Linked DNA regions of Kluyveromyces lactis. The protein of the gene in region 1 purifies or fractionates together with the protein of each later gene. This does not show direct contact. Links are inferred from orthologs where the notes say so. Each region holds a gene or a part of one and is shown in the gene's direction. Other genes may lie near its edges.

Region 1 (3,256 bases):
GTGGAAGTTCACAGAGACAAGGTTAATATCTTTATGGAATTCTGCGAGGGTTCCTCCTTAGCCAGTTTACTCGAACATGGCCGGATTGAAGATGAAATGGTAACTCAAGTTTACACACTACAATTACTTGAGGGATTGGCATGTTTGCACCAATCTGGAGTTGTGCACAGAGATATCAAACCGGAGAATATCTTATTGGATCGTAATGGCGTTATCAAATATGTAGATTTTGGTGCCGCAAAACTCATTGCAAAGAACGGATCAAAGAGGATATCACTGGATGCCAATAACAAATCTACAGGCGGGAAAGATATGATCGGAACACCGATGTATATGGCACCAGAAACGGTGACTGGTCAAGGACACGGAAAATTCGGATCCGATGATATATGGTCTTTAGGTTGTGTTGTACTGGAAATGGTGACCGGTAGACGTCCATGGGCTAACTTAGACAATGAATGGGCTATCATGTATCATGTTGCAGCTGGTCACCTTCCGCAATTCCCAACCAAGTCTGAAATTTCATCTGCGGGTAGAAAGTTCATAAGCAGATGCTTAATACAAGATGCCAATAAAAGAGCAACTGCAATGGAATTGTTACTTGATCCCTGGATTTCTCAAATACGTAACATTGCATTTGGTGGCAATGCAGAATCTTTTAATAATGAAACTCATAACTAGTTCTGATAGACATAAAAGTTTCCTCCCCATGACGATCATATGTAACAATTGTAACCATAGATTTTTTTTTTGTATAAGTATTGTATGTATATATAATAATAATAGGAACTTTTGTTTGACTTTTTTTTAAACAATGCCGGATCCGTATAGTATCAATGTAACATGCACTTTCCGTTATCTGTGAGTTGCTTGCCAGTAAGTAAATTGCAGTCTAGGAATTTTTTGTGCCTGATGCTCCCCATAAGGTATTCAGAGCATAGTTTCAACATAATAAAGATTTATATTACCCGGAAGTGGTGAACTAAAAGAAATTCTTAAGTTCAAGAAAATCTTTTGAGATGCCGATGAGATGAGATGAGATGAGCTTCAACTACCAAGTCGACTTCCCTAAAAAGGAGAAGGTTCTGGTGAACGATATTAGTATTCCAGCAATAATCACAGGTCTTTTCTCGAAAGAAGTTTTTAGGTAATTAAACGAGCCCAAAATAATTCTCTGAATTTGTTAGGCCAAGCAATCCAAACGAAACATGGCAACCTTACTCCCACCGCCTTCAAAGAAGCAAAGAAGAGAAGCTCAAGCTGAACGTGGAGTTGACCTTATTCCCAAAGACCTTCCAAATGTTCTCATTAAATTCCAAGCTTTTGACAGTGGTGAAACTGTTGGAGGTTCTCTAAGGGTTCCAGGTGGTATTTCGGAGCAGCAACTGGAGGAATTGTTGAATCAGTTAAATGGAGACTCGGCAGATCCTGTTCCATACACGTTTAGCTGTTTAGTTAGCAACAAAAAGAAGGATGCAGATGAGGAAATGGTAGATATTAGAGATAATCTATATCAATCCATTTTAAAACCAGGTTTGAAAACTACCGAAGATTTTTTGACTCTAGTGTATACCCCAAGAGCTATCTTCAAAGTAAAACCAGTAACTCGGTCGTCTTCTGCAATTGCTGGTCATGGCTCGACAATTTTGTGTTCTGCATTTGCTCCAAATACAAGCTCCAGGATGGTTACCGGTGCTGGTGACAATACTGCATGTATCTGGGATTGTGACACTCAAACGCGTATGTGCACGTTACAAGGCCATCACAACTGGGTCCTATGTTGTTCCTGGTCTCCAGATGGTGAATTAATCGCCACAGGTTCTATGGACAACACAATTAGATTATGGGAATCAAGCAAAGGTAAGCCTTATGGTGATGCTTTAAGAGGTCACTCGAAATGGATTACCTCCTTATCTTGGGAACCAATCCATCTTGTCAAACCTGGTGACAAACCGAGATTAGCAACTGCATCCAAGGATGGAACTATCAAAATCTGGGATACAACAAGAAGAGTTTGCCTTTTAACCTTATGTGGCCATACGTCTTCTGTTTCCTGTGTCAAGTGGGGTGGAAAAAATGTTCTATACAGTGGTTCTCACGATAAAACAATCAGATGCTGGGACATGAATTTGAACGGTAAATGTATCAATATCCTAAAATCACACGCCCATTGGGTTAATCATCTTTCACTTTCAACAGATTATGCATTAAGACTCGGTGCGTTCGATCACAAGGGCGAAACTCCTGCTTCACCTGAAGAAGCCCAACAGAAGGCTCTGAAAAATTACGAAAAAGTTGCTAAAAGAAAAGGTGACTTCGAAGAACTGATGGTAACTGCCAGTGACGATTTTACTATGTATCTGTGGAACCCCTTGAAGTCTACTAAACCTATTACCAGAATGACCGGCCACCAAAAGCTCGTCAACCACGTTGCATTTTCGCCAGATGGCCGTTACATTGTTTCTGCATCCTTTGACAACTCCATTAAATTATGGGATGGAAGGGATGGTAAATTCCTATCCACCTTTAGAGGACATGTAGCGAGTGTCTACCAAGTAGCTTGGTCAAGCGACTGTAGACTACTCGTTTCTTGTTCCAAAGATACCACTTTAAAAGTCTGGGATGTCAAAACTAGAAAACTGTCCGTCGATCTACCCGGTCATCAAGATGAAGTCTACACTGTAGATTGGTCTGTAGACGGTAAACGTGTATGTAGCGGTGGGAAAGATAAAATGGTCAGGATATGGACTCATTGAGTGGATCCACTGCATCTGAATAATTAGCATGATTAAATTATAGACTGCCTTATGTATGTTATAGCTTCTTTTACATTTATTATGAGGTGCACAGGTGTCCCTTCTTCTTACAAGCTGAAAATTTTGAAAAATTAAAGCTTCAAGCATAGTTGAAAAGATGAAGAACGATTCAGCCGGCATTTACCATAGGAAATCGATAAGTTATCTATATAGTAAGAAAGGTGTACACCGGGAAAACCTGCATAACCACACAACAGCCTACTAATAATACAACGGCTAGTTAATAATGCTTACAAGAGTTACAAGAAGTTTTGCGGCTATGAGCCCAAGATCATTTCGGATTTGTACTAGACTACAATCAACCCAAGCACAGCAACCACAACAACAGGAAAACTCAGAAATTGAGCTTTTAAATGAACTTAAATCAGAAATGGACAAATTGGGACCATTATCTGATGCCGAAAGTGCCGAACTCAGTGCTTTATTTGACAGTCAAAGTC
Region 2 (3,896 bases), about 920 kb from region 1:
GCCATACTGAAAAATTTGGAACTAAAGCGATGAGATGAGATGAGATGAGATGAACCATATACATGAGAGAAGAGACAACAGACCACAAGGTTCAGCAGGTTAACTAAGGACAACAATAACACGATGAGCAAGGAGTACAGCGATGTGGATGATTTTGCGTCAGACGAAGAAGAGGACAACCAAGTGTTGATCACTGGGAAGGATGCGAAGAAGAATGTGATTCAGTTTGATCAAGAAGAGGACGAGGAAGAGCAAGAGGAAGAGGACGAGGAAGTACAGGATGAAGAAGAACCGGAGGATAAGGTAGTACAACTCACAGAACAGCAGATAGAGAAAGAAAAGCAGAGACGACTCAAAAAGCTTAAGAGCGATAAGAAGACGAAACACAAGACCGGTGTGGTTTACCTATCGAGGGTTCCACCGTACATGAAACCAGCCAAGCTAAGGCAGATTCTCACAAGATTCGGTGAAGTGGACCGTCTGTTCTTGAAACGTGAAGAGGAGCACAAGCACCAGCAGCGTGTCAAGAGTGGTGGGAACAAGAAAACGATGTTTGAAGAAGGTTGGGCCGAGTTTATCAGAAAGAAGGACGCTAAACTGTGCGCATCGACTCTAAACGGTAATATTATCGGTGGTAAGAAGGGAAATTTCTACCATGACGACGTCATGAACGTTAAATACTTGCCCGGGTTCAAATGGGCCGATTTGACAGAACAAATCGCTAGAGAAAACGATATCAGACAAGCAAAGCTACAATTGGAAATCTCACAGGCCAACAAGTTGAACGCAGAGTTCATCCATAACGTAGAGAAATCAAAGATGGTCAACAAGATGAAACAGAGCAAGAAACGTAACCAACAAGAATCACAGCAGGTCGATGAAGAAGTTCGCAGGACTTTCAAACAGAGGAAAGTCGCTTCGACAAGAGCATCTGCTCCAGATTCTCAGAGACAATCCCAACCGCAATCGAAAGCACTCAACGATGTCATGCATAGTTTATTCTAAGATGACTATATAACACATATATAAAGCATATAGCCAAGCCAAAAGCCCTACAGAGAGTACAACTCATCGCCTGCCATTCCCATGGTCAAAGATCAGGTTTCTTTTTCATTCCCATAGTGTAAGAAAAAGTGAAAAGAAAAAATTTTCCAGCTCATCTCATCTCATCTCATGAATTGGAACAGGAACAAAGGCAGGTTCATCAGTGGTTTGTTTCGATTCAGGTTGATCTCAGTCCAGGCAAGAGACATTCAGTTACTTATTCTTCCATCTGTTTGAGTTTTCGATCGAAATTGAACGTGTTCGTTACCACAAAGAACGAACAAACGAACGAACCAAAGGAAACCTAATTGAAATCTATACCAAGGCACAATGGGTACCGGTAAGAAGGAAAAGCAAAGGAGAATCCGCGAAGGTAATACCAAGGATGGTAACCTTCGTGTGAAGGGTGAGAATTTCTACAGGGACACCAAGAGAGTGCAGTTTTTGAACATGTACAAAGGTGGTAGATCTGTTCGTAATGCAAAGGGTGACATTATCAAGGCTGCTCCGTTGCAGGATACTGCTGCTCCAACAGCAAGAGTGGCTCCTGACCGTAGATGGTTTGGTAATACCAGAGTTATTTCTCAGGATTCATTGAGCCATTTCAGAGAAGCTTTGGGCGAGAACAAGCGTGATTCTTATCAGGTGCTATTGAGAAGAAATAAACTTCCGATGTCGTTGTTGAACGAAAAGGATTCCGCTGAATCTCCAACGGCAAAGATTTTGGAGACAGAGCCCTTTGAACAAACTTTTGGGCCTAAGGCTCAGAGGAAGAAACCAAGAATCGCTGCGTCGTCGTTGGAAGAGTTGATTTCAAGTACTTCTACCGATAATAAGACTTTTGAAGAAAAGCAAGAATTGGATTCTACTCTGGGGCTTATGGGTAAGCAAGAGGAAGAAGACGGTTGGACGCAGGCAGCAAAGGAAGCCATTTTCCACAAAGGTCAGTCGAAACGTATTTGGAACGAATTGTACAAGGTTATCGATTCCTCCGATGTCGTCATCCACGTATTGGATGCTAGAGATCCTTTGGGGACTCGTTGTAAATCGGTGACTGATTACATGACCAATGAGACTCCTCATAAACATTTGATATACGTCTTGAACAAGTGTGATCTTGTTCCTACATGGGTTGCCGTATGTTTTAAACTTTCTTTTTAATCTTCAGTGATTACTACTAACCGATTATACTTTCTAACTGGGAGTGAATACCACAGTATCTTGAGAATACCAAAATTCTTTGTCAGGGTGTTTCTGCGTACATTCTAGTACAACTTACACATACAGAAGGGCCTGTTACAGTTTTGGAAGAGCAATACTACCCACCCTCGATCTATCCATCGTTTTGATGGAGTCATGGTTGAAACCTAGTTGAACAATCTTCGTTTTGAGGATATATCAGCGCTTTTATTTCGGGTACGGAGGAACTTAAGAGTTGAGCTTTGGATCTGAAAAGAATTATTATGCCATGGCTCGTAGTAAAGAACCTCACATCACCACTAATATACTCAATACAGCATGGAGTCAACCCCCAGTAGAAAGCATAATTGGTTATTGATTCACATATGTGATTACAATTTTACTAACACGATTTTCCCTATTTTTGATTCTCAACAGGCAGCATGGGTAAAACATCTATCGAAGGAACGTCCCACATTGGCATTCCATGCCTCTATTACCAATTCATTTGGTAAGGGTTCGTTAATTCAACTTCTACGTCAATTCTCACAACTGCATAAGGACAGACATCAAATCTCTGTTGGGTTCATTGGATATCCAAACACCGGTAAATCCTCAATCATCAACACTCTAAGGAAAAAGAAGGTCTGTCAAGTGGCACCTATTCCTGGTGAAACTAAGGTGTGGCAATACATAACTTTGATGAAGAGAATCTTTTTAATCGATTGTCCCGGTATTGTACCGCCATCCAGCAAGGACAGTGAAGAGGATATTCTATTCAGAGGTGTGGTAAGAGTTGAACACGTTTCGCATCCTGAACAATACATTCCAGGTATTCTAAAACGTTGTAAGAGACAACATTTGGAAAGAACCTATGAGATCTCCGGATGGAAAGACTCTGTAGATTTCATCGAAATGATTGCAAGAAAGCAAGGTAGACTATTGAAAGGTGGTGAACCAGATGAAAGCGGGGTATCGAAACAAATCTTGAACGATTTCAACAGAGGTAAGATCCCATGGTTCGTACCACCACCAGAGAAGGACAAGATTGAGGAAAAGGAACCTGGTGATAAGAAACGTCCTGCAGAGGAAAATCAAGAAGATCAAGAAGAGGAAGAGAAGGAGCAAGAGGAACAAGAAGAACCTGTTTCTAAAAAGGCCAAAAAGGAATAAACCAAACACTTCCTCAATATTTAATTCTCTCCAGACACGGGCATCGCTTTATATATAGACACACCATATACAATCTTATCGGATCTATCGTTTTTGTACATTAATATCAATCGGATGACTTAGGCTAAGTCTTGCACATAGAAATTTATTAAATAAATAGTAGAAAGGCTGGATAACACCGAACGTTGTGAAGCATGCAGATCAGGGGCAGAAACACTGGACAATGGACCCATTCGGGTCCACTGTCCATTGAGAAGTGGTGCCAGTGGTAATATCAACACCGTACACAATGACATTTCCCTCGAAAATTCTGTTTCTGCCAAAGAGGAACGAAACAGGAAAGCCTTTAGCATTAGATAAGGAAGAGACAGAGACATATATGGTTGGAATACGATTCAATTCTGATTTAAGAGTTGTCATTTAGGACTACTCCAGTAAGTACGATAGAATTTTAATGCAATCTCTTAATAGTCAGCTCGGAGGATTGCCAAATTCGGAGC
Region 3 (3,053 bases), on another chromosome or scaffold:
TCGACTACTCGTCATCACTGTCCATCCATGCTGCTCTTCCTCTTTTGTTAGATATTTTACCGTCATCGTCTGAGTCTGATTCTGGTTCTGAGTCTTTTCGTTCGGTCGCTCCTTTTCTTCCGTAATCCGCATCTTCGTCTTCTTCTTGTTCTTCTTCTTCTTCTTCGTCAGAATCTATTCCAACAGCTTTTCTACGGTTTGAAGAAGGCTCAGTATCAGAGTCACTCTCGTAGTCACTGTCACTGTTTTCATCTTCAGATTCGCTATGTTTCCCTTCGTTAACTTCCTCAACCGCATCAAACCAGTCACTATATACATCTACCGGTTGTGATAGACCATTAATGCGGGTTTGGAACGATTGTCCACAAATCTTACAATGAAGCGAGCCAATGTTATTCTTTTTGTCCATTGTTACGCTCACAGAGCGTTCGTGATTACAGAAGAGACAATTGAATGCCGTATCTAACCTCTGTACTATCTTCTTGGCTGGACCTCTGGATGACTTCTTTCTCTTACCCATGTCTAATGCTCTTCTTATTTGTCTTGTGAGAGCGTATGCTTACCCCTGCGGCTAGATTTGATTAATATATGCTAATATGCCTTTTGCAGTATAAATGAACGGGGACGATGACTATGTTTACGATATAATAATAATAATAATAATAATAGCAACTTAATAACTCATAAATCAGATTCGTGCGGCGTATTCTCTGTTAAGGTATCCTTTATATCGATCGTGAGTCCTGTTTGACAGCCGAAAAAACCTAACTCAAAAATAGTACTGTTCCGAAATAAACCAGAGAAAGAAACCCTAAAATACACAGTTTAAGCCCTTTTGTATTGTAACCCCATTCACTGAACGTAGCCCGTTGCTCATTAGTAACTTTTGCACAAACACGCACCGAGATTCAATATCAGATTCGGTTACTCTTTATTTCTTAAGTGTCAAATGTTATCAAATTTCAAGAAAAGTTTCAAATCATATATTACGGCCTTCGCTTTCAAAAAGCAATATTTACTAACTACGTGAACACAGTGGAGCTCCTGCGAAACAGAAAATTTTTATTTTTGACAATAGAGAGCTCATCTCATCATAGCTCATCTCATCTCATCTCGAAGTATGTTGCACACCTAACACGATTAATAAAGTAATGGTATGTAAAGTATTTAAGTACCTATTCTTATTTCTCAGCTCAAAGGATTGATTAGATATATACTGGATATTTCATAGTTGCCAGTACGAACTCGAGAAGTAAGCTTACCTAGGTGAACCAACAATTTGTTGATCTTTTTCTGAGACAGTGCGAATCAAGTAAGTTAAAAAACGCTTGGAAAGAATCCAGAATATAGAGGAAATAACTCCACTCATCCAGTCTAGTATATCTACAAGCACATTATAAGCAATATCAAAGTTTAGATAATATGGCAACTAAAACTAAGAAAAGCAAGGTTTCGACCAAAGCCACCAAGGCTACTAAGGGCAGTAAAGAGGAAGAAGTCATTCCAGTTAACAGAGTTAACAATGCTGTTATTAAATTGCAAGAATATTTGAAGGAAAATGGATCAAATGACAATCAGTTAATTGATGATTCTGAATTGGAGGCTCAGCTACAGTTGATCCTAGTCAACACTGAATCTTTTACTGGTTCTTTGAAAAACTTCAAACCAAAACTAATTACAGTTCCTCATTCTATCTTCAAGCCATGGAAGGAAGCTAGCACCACCATGGTTAAAGATTTCAAGACTCTTTTGATTCTAAAAGATTCTGATATCAATTCAGTGACATCAGAAGACTTGATCGATCTACTTCCAGAACATATTACTATTGATGCCATCATATCTGGTAAAGATTTGAAGACAAAATACAAGGCTTTTGAAAAGAGGCGTGCATTTGTACAGGATTTTTCTTTCATTCTAGCTGATGACTCGATAGTGACAGCTTTGCCCAAGCTATTAGGTGGTAAAGCATACAGTAAGTTGAATACCACTCCAATTGCCATTAACACAAGATCGGATAACAAGTTTAACAAGACAACTTTGGTAAATAGCATCAAGAGAATTTATGATACTAAAATCCCAGTCAAACTTCCAAGAGGTAACACGATGAATGTTCATCTAGGTTCATTGGAATGGTTCACCCCAGAACAATTGACTGAAAATATCATTTCTGTCGCTAAACAGTTCATCGAAAAGTACAATATCAGAACCATTCTTCTCAAATCTAACGAATCACCAGTCCTTCCATTATACGTTAATTTGGAAGTATTAGACAAATTGGTTGGGTCCAGACATGATGCTAAGACTTCCGTTCAAAATGTCATAGAAATTGATGGTGTCGAATTGCAACTATCACAATTTGAGAAATCTTTGTTAGAAATTGCAAATCCAGACGAACTAGACTCCTTGTTTGCTACGCAAATTAAGCAAGCCAAAAGAAACTTGGAAGAGGTCGAGGCAGAAGAAGAGCAAGAAGAACAAAAGAAAGAGCAAACGAAAGAACAAAAATCCAGCGCTAAAAGACAAAAGACAAAGAATAAAAACGTAAAAAATTAGAGGTACAGGAGTATCGCGTTTTTTTTCATTCCTCTTTCTTAATTTCTATCCTTCACAAATATCGTCTTAAAACTTACCCATTTAGCATAGATTTAACGGCTGTCACCGCTCCTACAATGATAGTTTTCCCTACAAAATGTATTTAATCTGTACTCAAATTTTCCAGATAGCATCGATACTTTGCAATTCATAAAAGAATAACAGTAGTTAAATTCAGTGCGTTTTCGAACCAGCAGGAAAACGTTATTCCTAGTATTGTTTGGATGGTGCAAACCCATCGCCGCTCGAACAACTTTTCTGATGTGCCACATTTAGGTTTGCTGGTTTTTCTGTGTGGACTGGTGCGTCCATGCAGTCAGTGAAGGAAAAGGAAAAACGAAAAATAAAAGTGTCACAAAAAGATTTAATTACTATATTAAACATATGTCAAATATTATATAAACCACAGATTTCACAAACTTTCACATCATCACCTCTGTTATTCGTGCTTATTCGTAGTT
Region 4 (2,189 bases), on another chromosome or scaffold:
AGTCAATTGTGAAGTAAGCCCAGAAATGACATGAGACCCCTGCAATGCCGTTAATCTGGCCCCTATGTCGTTTATTTTCAAGTTGCCCTCTTGAGTAGCTATCTTCTCTTTCAATTGATTGGCTTGTTCTGTGGTCTTGTTCCAGAAACTGGATACTGTAGCAGAACCGCTAGATGACCACCAATTGGAAATTGACGCCAGTGGGTCCTGAACTGCCTCTTCACCTTCTTCTGCCACATGTTCTTCTTTTCCTTTCTGTTCACTCGGTTTCTCTTTACTGGCTGTCTCTTCTACAGGTTTCTCGTTCGATTCTGGCTTCTCCTCCGGTTTCTCTTTCTCTTGCTTCTTAGAGGATTGTGGCTTGTCCTTTTTGGACGGTTTCTTCTTAATATCCAGGTTACTATTTTCCAATTCGTCTAAGAATTCCATAATATCCTCATCCTGGCCGCCGTTCCCACTAACCTTACCCTTTCCCTTAGTGTTATTAGCAGTACTGGCTGGTAAAGAGTCTAAAAACTCTAGCACATCATCGGCATCACTAGTCATTTGGTGTTTTCTTTTTAAGTCTTTACTGTCGATAAAACTTGAATATTGATACGAATTGTTCAATCAAGAATCGATATATTCAAACTAGAAAATTATCGCTGAAAGGCAAGACAAAACTCCAACGGTTGAACTTAAACTAGCCTCCTAATCCTTGTGAACACAAGTATATAGTTTCTATCCTTTCTCTATTGTCATGGTTCCAACTACCGTGTGTTTTTTTCATGTATTGGTCCATTCTAAGGGTGGGTCGTATTTAAATATCCGGGTAACTATGTCACTTTCATTACCATGAAATAACGCTGGTATACATAAAGTGAGCAGTTAGCCGAAATGTAATGAGCACCGTGGCCTTTATCACCACCTATTCTTACCCCTTCCATAGATGGTGCTCTCCAGTACCAATGTCGGCATGTCTTGGCTTAAATCTTAGCATTTTTCATTAACTAATACCGTATCTATTTTGTACTGCCGTTTCTTTTCTAAAATTTTTCATCTCATCTCATCGCGAATCTGTTGAAAAGTTAATGCATCTCCATACCATGTACTTGATCCCCCGTTACTATTCACCTGTGCTAGCTATCTTGTTACTTGTTACTCTTAGTACTGGCTAGTATTCCTGGAACTACAAGTTAACGGTTAATCACAGTACTAAAATTCGAGATGCCATCTAAGAACTCCATTAACAGGCCAAAGCAAAAGGTTAACTTGAACCGTAAGGTTCATCAACGTGCTGCCAAGAGAGATGCTATGGAAAAGAAGGGTTTATTGGCACCAGCAAGATCTTCAGGAACATCTAAATCTGGTCAGTTGAAGAGTATACCATTGGATCTTTACAAAGGCGAGCATTCGACCTCTGGTGCTCTTACGACCAAGACTCTTTCGAAGAAAAGAGCAAAGAAGATCGAACGTAACTTGAAATACGTGGAACAAAGAAAACTATTAGTTGATCTACAATCTCAAAGTGAGGAAAACGGTGGTATGCAGATTGATGCGCCTGTTGTGAAGAAGGAGAAGGAAACCAAGAAAGGACAATTGGAAAAGATGAGAGAGGCTATTTCCACGGTGTTGGAAGATATTCAATCTCAAGGTTTATCCCTTCAGACAGGTTCTGGTACAACTCTAGGTGGTCAGTATTTCTTGTAGAGAGTCTTAAAAATCGTTAAATGGGGTTTGCATTGTCTATATAAACATTTTGTATACTAGGATAGATCTTAAACGGATCGTTCATTAAATATTATTCTGACATAAAAAAGAGTGCGTATATGTACTTAGGTACTTACTACTTTTCGTATAAACCTTTGGTCACTAATGCATCATTGACCTTGGTTTTCATAAATCCAATGACATCTGCTGGGTCGTGCGCGCGGAACACAGAGGTACCGGCAACAATGACATTGGCACCTGCCTCGGCAGCAAGTTCGACATTCTGTTTACCAAGACCACCATCGACTTGAATGTTCAAATTAGGAAATCTAGTTCTCAAGTCCTTCACTTTGCTCATCATATCGGCCATGAATTTTTGGCCACCGAAACCCGGTTCGACAGTCATTACAAGAGCCATATCCAGGGATGGTGCCAACTCGTACAACACATCCACAGGGGTACCTGGCTTCACAGAACAGGCAGCCTTCATACCATGCTTC
Region 5 (2,438 bases), on another chromosome or scaffold:
AGACGAGAAACAATATCTTGTAGAAACGAAATCCTGTCCGCACGGTCCCCAGAACGGCTTTCATGATAAACATTCCCTATCTCACCTTCTACTTCCTCATCGTCTTGATCTTCATCTTGATCTTCGTCCAACTGCTCTCCTTGCGATCCATCTTCTTCCCCGTCTTCGTCTTCATCATCATCATCATCGTGATGGACAAACTCTAAATCATCTTCATCCTCTGGATAAGAATATTCGCCAGATTCAACATCATCACTTTCATGGCTACCGTTCGCATCTTCATATATGATATAGTCGCCATCGCCATCGTAATAACTCATCTTTTCAAAACCCTTTCCTGTTTCAAATCACAAATAAGAGGCAAAATTACTATCTAAAATTTCTAGTTCACAACCCGGTATCTCTTACCACCTTAATAATTGGTATCTTAGAGGTTGTTAGACTTTGGCAAGCAATACAAGAGGTATGTTTAACTCGCCGGCTGTTCATATCAAACCAACTAGTTTGTTTCCTGCTAAATATGTACTGAGATTGCAATTTCCTGACTCTGAACTTTTAAGGTACATTTTGGTCCGGTACACTGCGGTTTTATCTGAGGAAAATATACACAATACCCGTCGCCACAAGTAATGAGTCACGTGACTAAGTTTACTTCCCCATTTACAATACATCTCCGGTAATAGGTTAAATCATTACCACTATATCTACTTGCCCGATACACGATCATGCCCTATCTGTGCCTTTCTAGTCTTGATATTTGTGTTGAATTGAGATCTATTGTCTCATTGGCAATGAGTGAGAGACTCAGAAATCAGTCAAGGGAATTCATACCGGAGTTTGGTTTTGCAGTTCCTTAGAATAAACCTCTCTAACCGAGCTTATGAGAATGGCCCTAGAGCATTGCAAAAGAGCCGGTATATGTCTTACCGATTCACTTTGTGTCAGAGGTCGTTACTTTCCGTTTGGAAAAATCAAATCACGTGACTCACAACTAGAAAGAAAAAGAAAGGCGCAAATTTTTCAGTTTGAGAAAGCTCATCTCATCGCATCTACTCGATGGACCTTTCATAGTTTAAACTGATCAACAGTACTAATCGCTATATTCTATCAGTTGTATTCCTCTTTATTTATCTCTCTTCTGTAATTGAATAGTGTTCTGATAATTGTTTACTTTTCGTTACTCTTTATCATCAAGCTACTACATATACCAACCCAGATACGATGCCAAGATCTAAGCGTTCAAAGTTGGTTACATTGGCCCAAACCGATAAGAAGGGTAGAGAGAACAAGGAAAGGATATTCGATGAAGTTAGAGAAGCCTTGGATTCTTTCAGATACGCTTGGGTTTTACATTTGGAAGATGTGAGAACTCCAGTTTTGCAAGAGATTAGAAGTTCTTGGGTTGGATCCAAGTTAATCATGGGTAAGAGGAAGGTGTTGGTGAAAGCGTTAGGTGAAAAGCCAGAGGAAGAGTACAAGGAGAACTTGGCCAAACTATGTAAGCACTGTTCTGGTGTTACTGGTCTATTATTTACCAACGAACCTGTCGATGTAGTGGAAGATTACTTCAAGGCATATGTGAGAGCTGATTTCTCCAGACCAAAATCAAAGGCTCCATTGTCTTTTACCATTCCAGCCGGTATTGTATACTCTCGTGGTGGTCAAATCCCAGAAGAAGAAGATGTGCCTATGATACATTCTCTGGAACCAACTCTAAGAAACAAGTTCAAGATTCCAACCAAAATTAAGAATGGTAAGATTACCATCGAATCTCCATACTTGGTCTGTGAAAAGGGCAAAACTCTAGATGTTACTCAAGCATTGATCTTGAAACAATTTGGTATAGCAGCTGCTGAATTCAGGGTGAAGGTTGCCGCATACTACGATAACGAAACTTCTAGTGTGGAACAGATCAATATCAACATGGATTCGAAATAAATCCAAAAATAAGAAAGCATTGCAGTGATAAACTATAAATATATATATATAATCATAACCTATATATTTCTCCTTTGTACATTAATCTCTTCTCTAGGAATCCTTTATCGAATACACGTACTGCCAATATTCGGTCAGATTCTTCCAACCTTGAGACATCATTCCCAGATCTGTCGCTGACACCATTCTGATACGCACAGCGTACTGATTTTCCAGTCGAAGCGATCCATGAAGGATGAGGTTACAATGTCGCAGCTGGGAGATTGACAGATCAAGAGTTTTCTGTGTCTCTTCTGATTCCAATTGTTCTTTCGTCATTAACAGGGACTCTAAACCGTAGATGATAATTTCTTCATAGCACATCGATGTGTTTCCTTTATTCTGGAGCTCAATCTCGACATATGTCAAGTACATATATAAATACTGTAATTTATCAAGGAACAGAATCCGCACGTTGGATCGTCCCCTGACTATATCATCAATACTGTTAAAGAAATGCG
Region 6 (2,845 bases), on another chromosome or scaffold:
ACTGCCTGTGAAATTTCAGACTGTACATTTAAATCGATCTTTTTGTAACAATTCCCAACAGATGAAAGGTTCCACACCTGATATCGCCCGCCCTGGGTTAAAATAGAAACTATTCTTTCTCCTTTACCGCTGATTTCGCCCAATTTGAGAGATACCACTCTCTTTGATTTGGACATGGATGAAAAGATTCCGACTTGACATTTTATTATGGTTTGTTTTAGCGATACAAAAGGTTTCCCGTTAGCATCTCTTATAGTACAAAACTCAACACGCCCGTAATTTGTCGAAAGTAATATTCCAGCTGGTTCTGCATTAATCAAATTCTCTACATATTCACCGTCACGTAGTTTTAAAACTGATTTATGACGTTTGGTTTGCGTCAAGAAACTTGCCACTTGACTCACAGTATCAACATCTTCATAGAATTGAATGTCACCGGATCTACTGTTCACTAAAAATAAGCCAGGGCTTGATTTCAAGTCACGTTCGAGCACACTAGGCCACGTAAAGCAACATAATGGAGGACGGGACCATGATTCATATTCCTCGTCATGTAATGGAATCCTTACAAAACTAGGGTGTGTTTCAGAAGATAAAAATGGCCAAACGTAAACATTATCAGTATCGCAGCATAAGGCGTACCCAGATTTTGCATCAACGCTACAACATAATTCCACATTACTGGGCAAAAAACTTAAACTTGGCGCTAACTTCGATACCTTATACTTCCCATTCTCTGTGATAACTTGTTCATTCGAAAATTGTACATTGGTGACAGCAGAACCAGTTGTCGTTTCCTCAGCAGAGATTACTGAATCCTCTGGTGCTGCTGCTGGTACACTAAGCTCTTTCCTGAGCTGAAACAATTGCTTCATCTTGTACTATCTTGACACTGAAAAAAAAAGCCAAAAGAATCACCAAATGTAAAACTTTGAAATTCTAATCTCAATTGATCCACTACCTTGTTAGCCGAACCTAGCTTGACCTTGCATTGCTGTAATTATAAAGGTAAATAGACTCTCTGATGCTCATTGTTTAAAATCTTGGTCAATGTTTCTGTTTTCATTGTCGCCAAAGAAATCGTCATAAGTGATGTCACGTGAAACATTTTCCGCCACGTGACTTTGGAATAGTTTCTTTTCACTTATCAAGTAACTTGGAAAATTAAATCTTTAAACTGGAACAAATCGATGCGATGAGCTAAATGCGATGAGCTAAGTTACAGTCTACATAGTTCATCTTTTGGCTCAGATTTCTATCCTATAAGGTGTAATTGTTGTGATTTGTATCAAGACACCGTAAACACCAGGATGATCAGAACAGTAAAGCCTAAGAATGCCCGTGCTAAAAGGGCTTTGGATAAAAAAGAAGCAAAATTGGTTGAGAATGTAAAGCAAGCTTTATTCATTCCTGGTCAAACTTCTACCAAGTTGTTGCATGATTCAATGGTTGATTTGAGTGCGTTGAAGAAGCCTGATATCAAGAGATTCTCCAAGAAGAACAACATCAGACCTTTTGAAGATTATGAACCATTAGAGTTTTTATCTGAAAAGAATGATACATCGCTTATGGTGTTGAGCACACATTCTAAGAAGAGAAGAAACAATTTGACTTTTATTCGTACGTTTGGGTATAAGATCTATGATATTATCGAGTTGCAGATTGCAGAAAACTATAAACTTTTGTCTGATTTCAGAAAACAAACTTTTAACGTTGGGTTAAAGCCAATGTTCAGTTTCCAAGGTGCAGCCTTTGAACAACATCCAGTTTACCAGCATATCAAATCATTGTTCCTTGACTTTTTCAGAGGTCAGAATACCACTTTGCAAGATGTTGCAGGTTTGCAACATATCATTTCTATCACTGTCCAAGGTGATTTCCAAGACGGTGAACCATTACCAAATGTTCTATTCAGAGTGTATCACTTGAAGACTTACAAGTCCGAACAAGGTGGTAAGAAGTTACCTAGAGTGGAATTGGAAGAGATTGGTCCAAGATTCGATTTCAAGATCGGAAGAATTCACACTCCATCTCCAGAAATGGTCAAGGAAGCCCATAAGAAACCTAGACAATTGGAAGTCAGAGTTGCTAAGAACGTTGAGATCGATACTATGGGTGATAAGATCGGTAGAGTGCATGTGGGTAAGCAAGATTTGGGTCAATTGCAAACTAGAAAGATGAAGGGTTTGAAGGCTAAATACGATCAAGTGGATTCGGATATGGAAGAGTACCTAGAAGAAGTTGAAGGCGATCTTGATCAAGAAAATGTCGATGACACTTACGGTGAAGAATTCGTAACGGCAACAGATATCGATGCTCCACCTGCTAAGAAGCAAAAGAAATAAATTCCATTGACAATAAAAACTGACTGTATAATATAATTCATATACATATCTAATCATATACATACACATTCGCATATATATGAGATAAAGGTGAAATAGAGTATAATTCTTTTTTTTTTTTTGATCGATCCACTGCCTTAATTCGTGGAGGCTGAACGGTTTTGCAATTTTTGTTTGTTCTCTACTAATCTGAGCATGTTTCTCAACAGCATGGAGATGGTTACTTTACCGGTGCTTGGAACGTATAGCGATGCTTTTGATTTCACAGACTCATCGAAATTCTTCTCTGAGGAAAAATTGATACAGATAGCGCCTTCTTTAATGTAATCAGTAGGGAACTTGTATTTTTCACCAGGAACACCTGTTATTATCACGTCAGCATCTTTACAGCATTCCTTCAATAGCTCCTCTGAATATGCACCCAAGTCTTCTACATGATGTTTCGTAAACTTCAAACCTTGCCCACGTGTGAACTTCTGAATGTTGTTGATATCAACAGA
Region 7 (3,651 bases), on another chromosome or scaffold:
ACAGCAGCACCTCTCATGTAGGTGAAACCATGACATCTGTAAGAGGTGATGACGGTATCACGCTTAGTGATAGCGTTTTCAATACCAACGGCAATGGCTTCTTGACCGACAGAGGAGTGACAGAAACCTCTAATTTTCTTAGCCTTGTACAAAGCGTCACAGGCCATTTCCATTCTTCTAACGATAATCATATCCTTGTACATTTGTAGCAAATTGGACTTGGTGGTTTGATAACTTAATTCAGGAACATCCAAAAGATAACCTTCAAAAGAGGTTTCTGGCAAATCAATTTGAACTAGGTCATCATCACCTGGCTTAGTTTCATCAGCAACCTGGGACAAAGCACGGACGTTTTTAGAAAAGTTTCTAACCAATCTCAAAGAGCTGGACTTCCCAACCACAGAGGATTGAGCTTTCAAAGATAGCATGGTTTGCCTAATTTATTGTTCTTTTCGGTATTAACTACTATAGCGACCAACAATTAGAACACACAAATACACACTCAGCAGTAGTGATGGCAAAATATGTTGTATAGAGAAGAAATAAAGAAGAAGAAGCTCTGAGTTCCTGATTCTATATTAAAACAAAAAAAAGCCAACTAATGAACGATTCCTTGTTCCAAAAAATTTGACAAAAATCAATCAATCAATCAATCAGTCAGTCAATTAATCAATTGCTTGGCTCAGTATCACTGAAAGACCAAAAAAAGGTTCTTAATCACGCAACAACTGTTTCTCATCATATTCACAATTAAATCCGCCTTTAAATACTTGTGAACTTGGGAAAAAAACTTCAAAAAATTTCGTAGCCAGCCAGTCGGTATAGATAAGGGACTTGAAATAACAAGAAGTGGGTATAAGCAAGGTCAATTTTGCTCTAATTGGGGTCAAACTTGAACCGTTGGGTAGCTGATGATGCGGAGAGTATTGATATTCTACTTATTATGGGATATCTGACAGTTTCGTCTGGTGTAGGTAGAGTTTATTGTGCTGATTCAATTAGACAGACGGGATTGTTGTTAGAAAGAGTGGGAAAAGTGACGTGCACAGCGCGGTGTTTGGGTGGAACATGGGCAGCAGATCTATTACCCGGATAATATGCGGGTCATGAGTTCTAATGATACACATTACCCGAATATTAATACTTTTGGCGCACGTGATCAGAAAGTGATTTCTTTTTCATTCTCTTCTGATCGAGGTCCGGGTAATATTTTGGAAAATTTTTTGAAATATCTTAGTGCTGTGTGGCAGGAAAGGTTGTATCCAGGAAAGAAATTTGGAAAAAAAAAGTATCAGTGAAAACTTTAAAGCGATGAGATGAGATGAGGTAAAGAGAAACGAGGTACATACTTACATCATTATCATAGTGTATCGTTCCCTCCTTTGTATCAGAAAACAGCTAATACTAATAATTTGTGGATAAAATTATCCGTACTATGGCGTTACAAATCTCAAAGGAAGACACTCAGGTGTTATTGAAAGATAAGAATGTATTGATCGAACCAACAATTGAGAAATATAGAACTGCAGGTCAAATTGCTCAGACTGCTTTAAACTTTTTGATCAGTTTGATCAATAAGATGTATCATGAGAAGTCTATGGAGCCGCTACCGATTCATCAACTTTGTTTATTGACTGATTCGTTCATAGCCGATTGTTTAAGTACTAAGTTCAACAATAAGGTTAACGAGAAGGGAATCTCAATGCCAACTTGTATTGATATCGATGAAATAAACGAGAACTGGTGTCCTGAAGTGGATGACATCGAAAACTTGTCCCGTTGGAACCAAAAATCTAGATCTACCAAATCGATCGAGCTATGTAACGGTGTTACTTCTAGTTTGTCTGGGTTTTTGAAAGTTGGTGATGTCGCTAAGATCACTTTGGGTTGTCACATCGATGGGTACACTTGTAACGTGTCCCACACCGTGGTCATTTACCCAACCGTTCAGGATGCCCAATCTGGAAAATTGCTACCTGAAGCTGCTTTGCTAGGTGGTAAAGCTGATGCTCTAGCTGCCACCCATATCGCTGTTGAGTCCGTCACTAACTTATTAGCTGCTGCAAACGATTTGACCAAACTTCCAGCTGATTTCAACGCTACGAAGGTCACTGGTTCCTTGATTAGGACCGTAGTTGACACCATTGCTCAATCTTATAATTGTTGCGTTGTGCCTGGTTCTCGTATCAGAAGAATCAAAAGATTCCTTTCTGGTCAAAACGAAAATATCATTGTCGAAAGAGACTTCAAAGGTGTCATTTGGACTGAGTCTCATCAGGAAGCTGCTATGCTTGCTAGAACCGTCAATGAAACTGCTGTTGATGTCAAGCGTAAGAACCCATTTATCACCGAAGATACCGTGGTCCCAACAGATGATTTTACCGTTGTCAAGGGTGAAGTTTACATGATCGATTTGAAGTTGGCTCCATTGCAAGGATTGGAGCCAGGTTTGATCACTTTACACACTGTCGATCAATTCTCCGGTAAATCTGAATCCTCTGATGTGGTGGCTAGACCAGGTGCCATCTGCCGTGATTTTTCAAAGAGCCATGTTCTAAAGTTAAGAGCTGCTAGACAAGTGTTGACCAGATTGGATAAACAAGGTGTATACCCTACCAAATTAGCTCATATCGCTGATTCTTTCCCATTGGACGTACAGGAGCCTGATTTCGAAACCATCAAGCAAGAAATCAAGCCATTCAGATTAGGTCTTTCTGAAATTTCTAACAACTACCTAACAATCGACAGAGATGTCACCATCGTAAAACACGTTCCTTGGGCTAAGATCTTGGATCTAACAAACCCATCCGGTGTGTCAAGTTATGACGCCATGGCAAAGAATAAAGGTTTATACCCAGGTTTCGAGCTTCCTCTACCTAAACTAGGTTTGTCCAACCTACAGTTGAAATCCTTGCTAAAAAAACACTCTACGCCAGTTCCTGTGGTCCGTCAATGTGTCACTGTAGCCATCTGTGATGAAGAGTTGCTAAGAATCAGCGGAAACCTAAAATCTAACTGGGTTCATTCTGTTTACTCTATGGATACTGCAAGCAATATCGTTGCAGGTATATTCAAACTGGCTCAATTGTCCGAGGATAAGAGATTTGGTTTGAAGATCAGAGAAACTCAACCATGGAAAATGAAATTCTAATTTATTCATTACCAGTATTAACTACCTTCTTTGATAGAACTACTTCAACAGATAACAAATTCTATTTCATACACAAACACCCTTTTCGCATCTGCACACAATAACTCTACATTGATACACCAGTTCATATTATATTCAATACTCGTTTGATTTCGGTAGCCCAAGAGTCTTGTTCTTATGAGTCTTTATTCTTACCAACCAATTGCAACAAAAACAATGTATAAATAGCAACTTCTAAGTATCTTGTAGATCTGTACACTAGCAAAATCATAATAGAACTCAAGCTCTCAACTTTGTCATTAGTTCTTCTACTATTAGTGTGTTTGCTTCGGAAGGATTATCAAAACGTTCAAAATGATGGCGGCTAATTAGATTTTAGTATAAAAAGGATTTGGAGTCAGAAACCAAATCAACAAACCCAACTACCAATGAATATGACATAGCGAGATATCTAGTGCACATAACTAGGAGCGAGAAGGTGATCCTAAAAACCAATAACT

Evidence for each region.
Region 2: the proteins of RSA4 (region 1) and NOG2 purify together in Saccharomyces cerevisiae (affinity purification with mass spectrometry; 8 studies listed by BioGRID, with this or other methods). This does not show direct contact. The link is inferred for Kluyveromyces lactis from reciprocal best matches to the Saccharomyces cerevisiae genes RSA4 and NOG2.
Region 3: the proteins of RSA4 (region 1) and CIC1 purify together in Saccharomyces cerevisiae (affinity purification with mass spectrometry; 3 studies listed by BioGRID). This does not show direct contact. The link is inferred for Kluyveromyces lactis from reciprocal best matches to the Saccharomyces cerevisiae genes RSA4 and CIC1.
Region 4: the proteins of RSA4 (region 1) and ALB1 purify together in Saccharomyces cerevisiae (affinity purification with mass spectrometry; 4 studies listed by BioGRID). This does not show direct contact. The link is inferred for Kluyveromyces lactis from reciprocal best matches to the Saccharomyces cerevisiae genes RSA4 and ALB1.
Region 5: the proteins of RSA4 (region 1) and MRT4 purify together in Saccharomyces cerevisiae (affinity purification with western blotting; 5 studies listed by BioGRID, with this or other methods). This does not show direct contact. The link is inferred for Kluyveromyces lactis from reciprocal best matches to the Saccharomyces cerevisiae genes RSA4 and MRT4.
Region 6: the proteins of RSA4 (region 1) and RPF2 purify together in Saccharomyces cerevisiae (affinity purification with mass spectrometry; 3 studies listed by BioGRID, with this or other methods). This does not show direct contact. The link is inferred for Kluyveromyces lactis from reciprocal best matches to the Saccharomyces cerevisiae genes RSA4 and RPF2.
Region 7: the proteins of RSA4 (region 1) and ARX1 purify together in Saccharomyces cerevisiae (affinity purification with mass spectrometry; 12 studies listed by BioGRID, with this or other methods). This does not show direct contact. The link is inferred for Kluyveromyces lactis from reciprocal best matches to the Saccharomyces cerevisiae genes RSA4 and ARX1.

Annotation. Positions count from the first base shown.
Region 1 is NC_006039.1:748,529-751,784, forward strand, and holds RSA4 (Rsa4p), read left to right. Parts: upstream 1-1,208; coding exon 1,209-2,756; downstream 2,757-3,256. Other genes in the region: mitogen-activated protein kinase kinase kinase SSK2, read left to right, coding at 1-681; IMG2 (mitochondrial 54S ribosomal protein mL49), read left to right, coding at 3,043-3,256. UniProt on the Saccharomyces cerevisiae protein: Involved in ribosome biogenesis. Required for processing and efficient intra-nuclear transport of pre-60S ribosomal subunits.
Region 2 is NC_006039.1:1,670,945-1,674,840, reverse strand, and holds NOG2 (putative GTPase NOG2), read left to right. Parts: upstream 1-1,374; coding exon 1,375-2,181; intron 2,182-2,661; coding exon 2,662-3,396; downstream 3,397-3,896. Other genes in the region: RNA-binding ATPase activator ESF2, read left to right, coding at 124-1,005; CCR4-NOT core DEDD family RNase subunit POP2, read left to right, coding at 3,851-3,896. UniProt on the Saccharomyces cerevisiae protein: GTPase that associates with pre-60S ribosomal subunits in the nucleolus and is required for their nuclear export and maturation.
Region 3 is NC_006042.1:2,032,635-2,035,687, reverse strand, and holds CIC1 (Cic1p), read left to right. Parts: upstream 1-1,422; coding exon 1,423-2,553; downstream 2,554-3,053. Other genes in the region: ELF1 (Elf1p), read right to left, coding at 5-520. UniProt on the Saccharomyces cerevisiae protein: An adapter protein that specifically links the 26S proteasome to its substrate CDC4 which is one of the substrate recognition subunits of the SCF E3 ubiquitin ligase complex. Required for turnover of cell cycle regulatory proteins CDC4 and GRR1.
Region 4 is NC_006041.1:1,345,430-1,347,618, reverse strand, and holds ALB1 (Alb1p), read left to right. Parts: upstream 1-1,206; coding exon 1,207-1,689; downstream 1,690-2,189. Other genes in the region: DUF5427 domain-containing protein MTC1, read right to left, coding at 1-546; ribulose-phosphate 3-epimerase RPE1, read right to left, coding at 1,826-2,189. UniProt on the Saccharomyces cerevisiae protein: With ARX1, involved in proper assembly of pre-ribosomal particles during the biogenesis of the 60S ribosomal subunit. Accompanies the pre-60S particles to the cytoplasm.
Region 5 is NC_006038.1:1,184,309-1,186,746, reverse strand, and holds MRT4 (mRNA turnover protein MRT4), read left to right. Parts: upstream 1-1,221; coding exon 1,222-1,938; downstream 1,939-2,438. Other genes in the region: putative ubiquitin-protein ligase UFD4, read right to left, coding at 1-320; SHU1 (Shu1p), read right to left, coding at 2,032-2,438. UniProt on the Saccharomyces cerevisiae protein: Component of the ribosome assembly machinery. Nuclear paralog of the ribosomal protein P0, it binds pre-60S subunits at an early stage of assembly in the nucleolus, and is replaced by P0 in cytoplasmic pre-60S subunits and mature 80S ribosomes.
Region 6 is NC_006037.1:704,979-707,823, forward strand, and holds RPF2 (rRNA-binding ribosome biosynthesis protein RPF2), read left to right. Parts: upstream 1-1,310; coding exon 1,311-2,345; downstream 2,346-2,845. Other genes in the region: NUP133 (Nup133p), read right to left, coding at 1-875; MTD1 (methylenetetrahydrofolate dehydrogenase (NAD(+))), read right to left, coding at 2,483-2,845. UniProt on the Saccharomyces cerevisiae protein: Required for biogenesis of the 60S ribosomal subunit.
Region 7 is NC_006042.1:1,098,206-1,101,856, reverse strand, and holds ARX1 (putative hydrolase), read left to right. Parts: upstream 1-1,435; coding exon 1,436-3,151; downstream 3,152-3,651. Other genes in the region: PDA1 (pyruvate dehydrogenase (acetyl-transferring) subunit E1 alpha), read right to left, coding at 1-428. UniProt on the Saccharomyces cerevisiae protein: Probable metalloprotease involved in proper assembly of pre-ribosomal particles during the biogenesis of the 60S ribosomal subunit. Accompanies the pre-60S particles to the cytoplasm.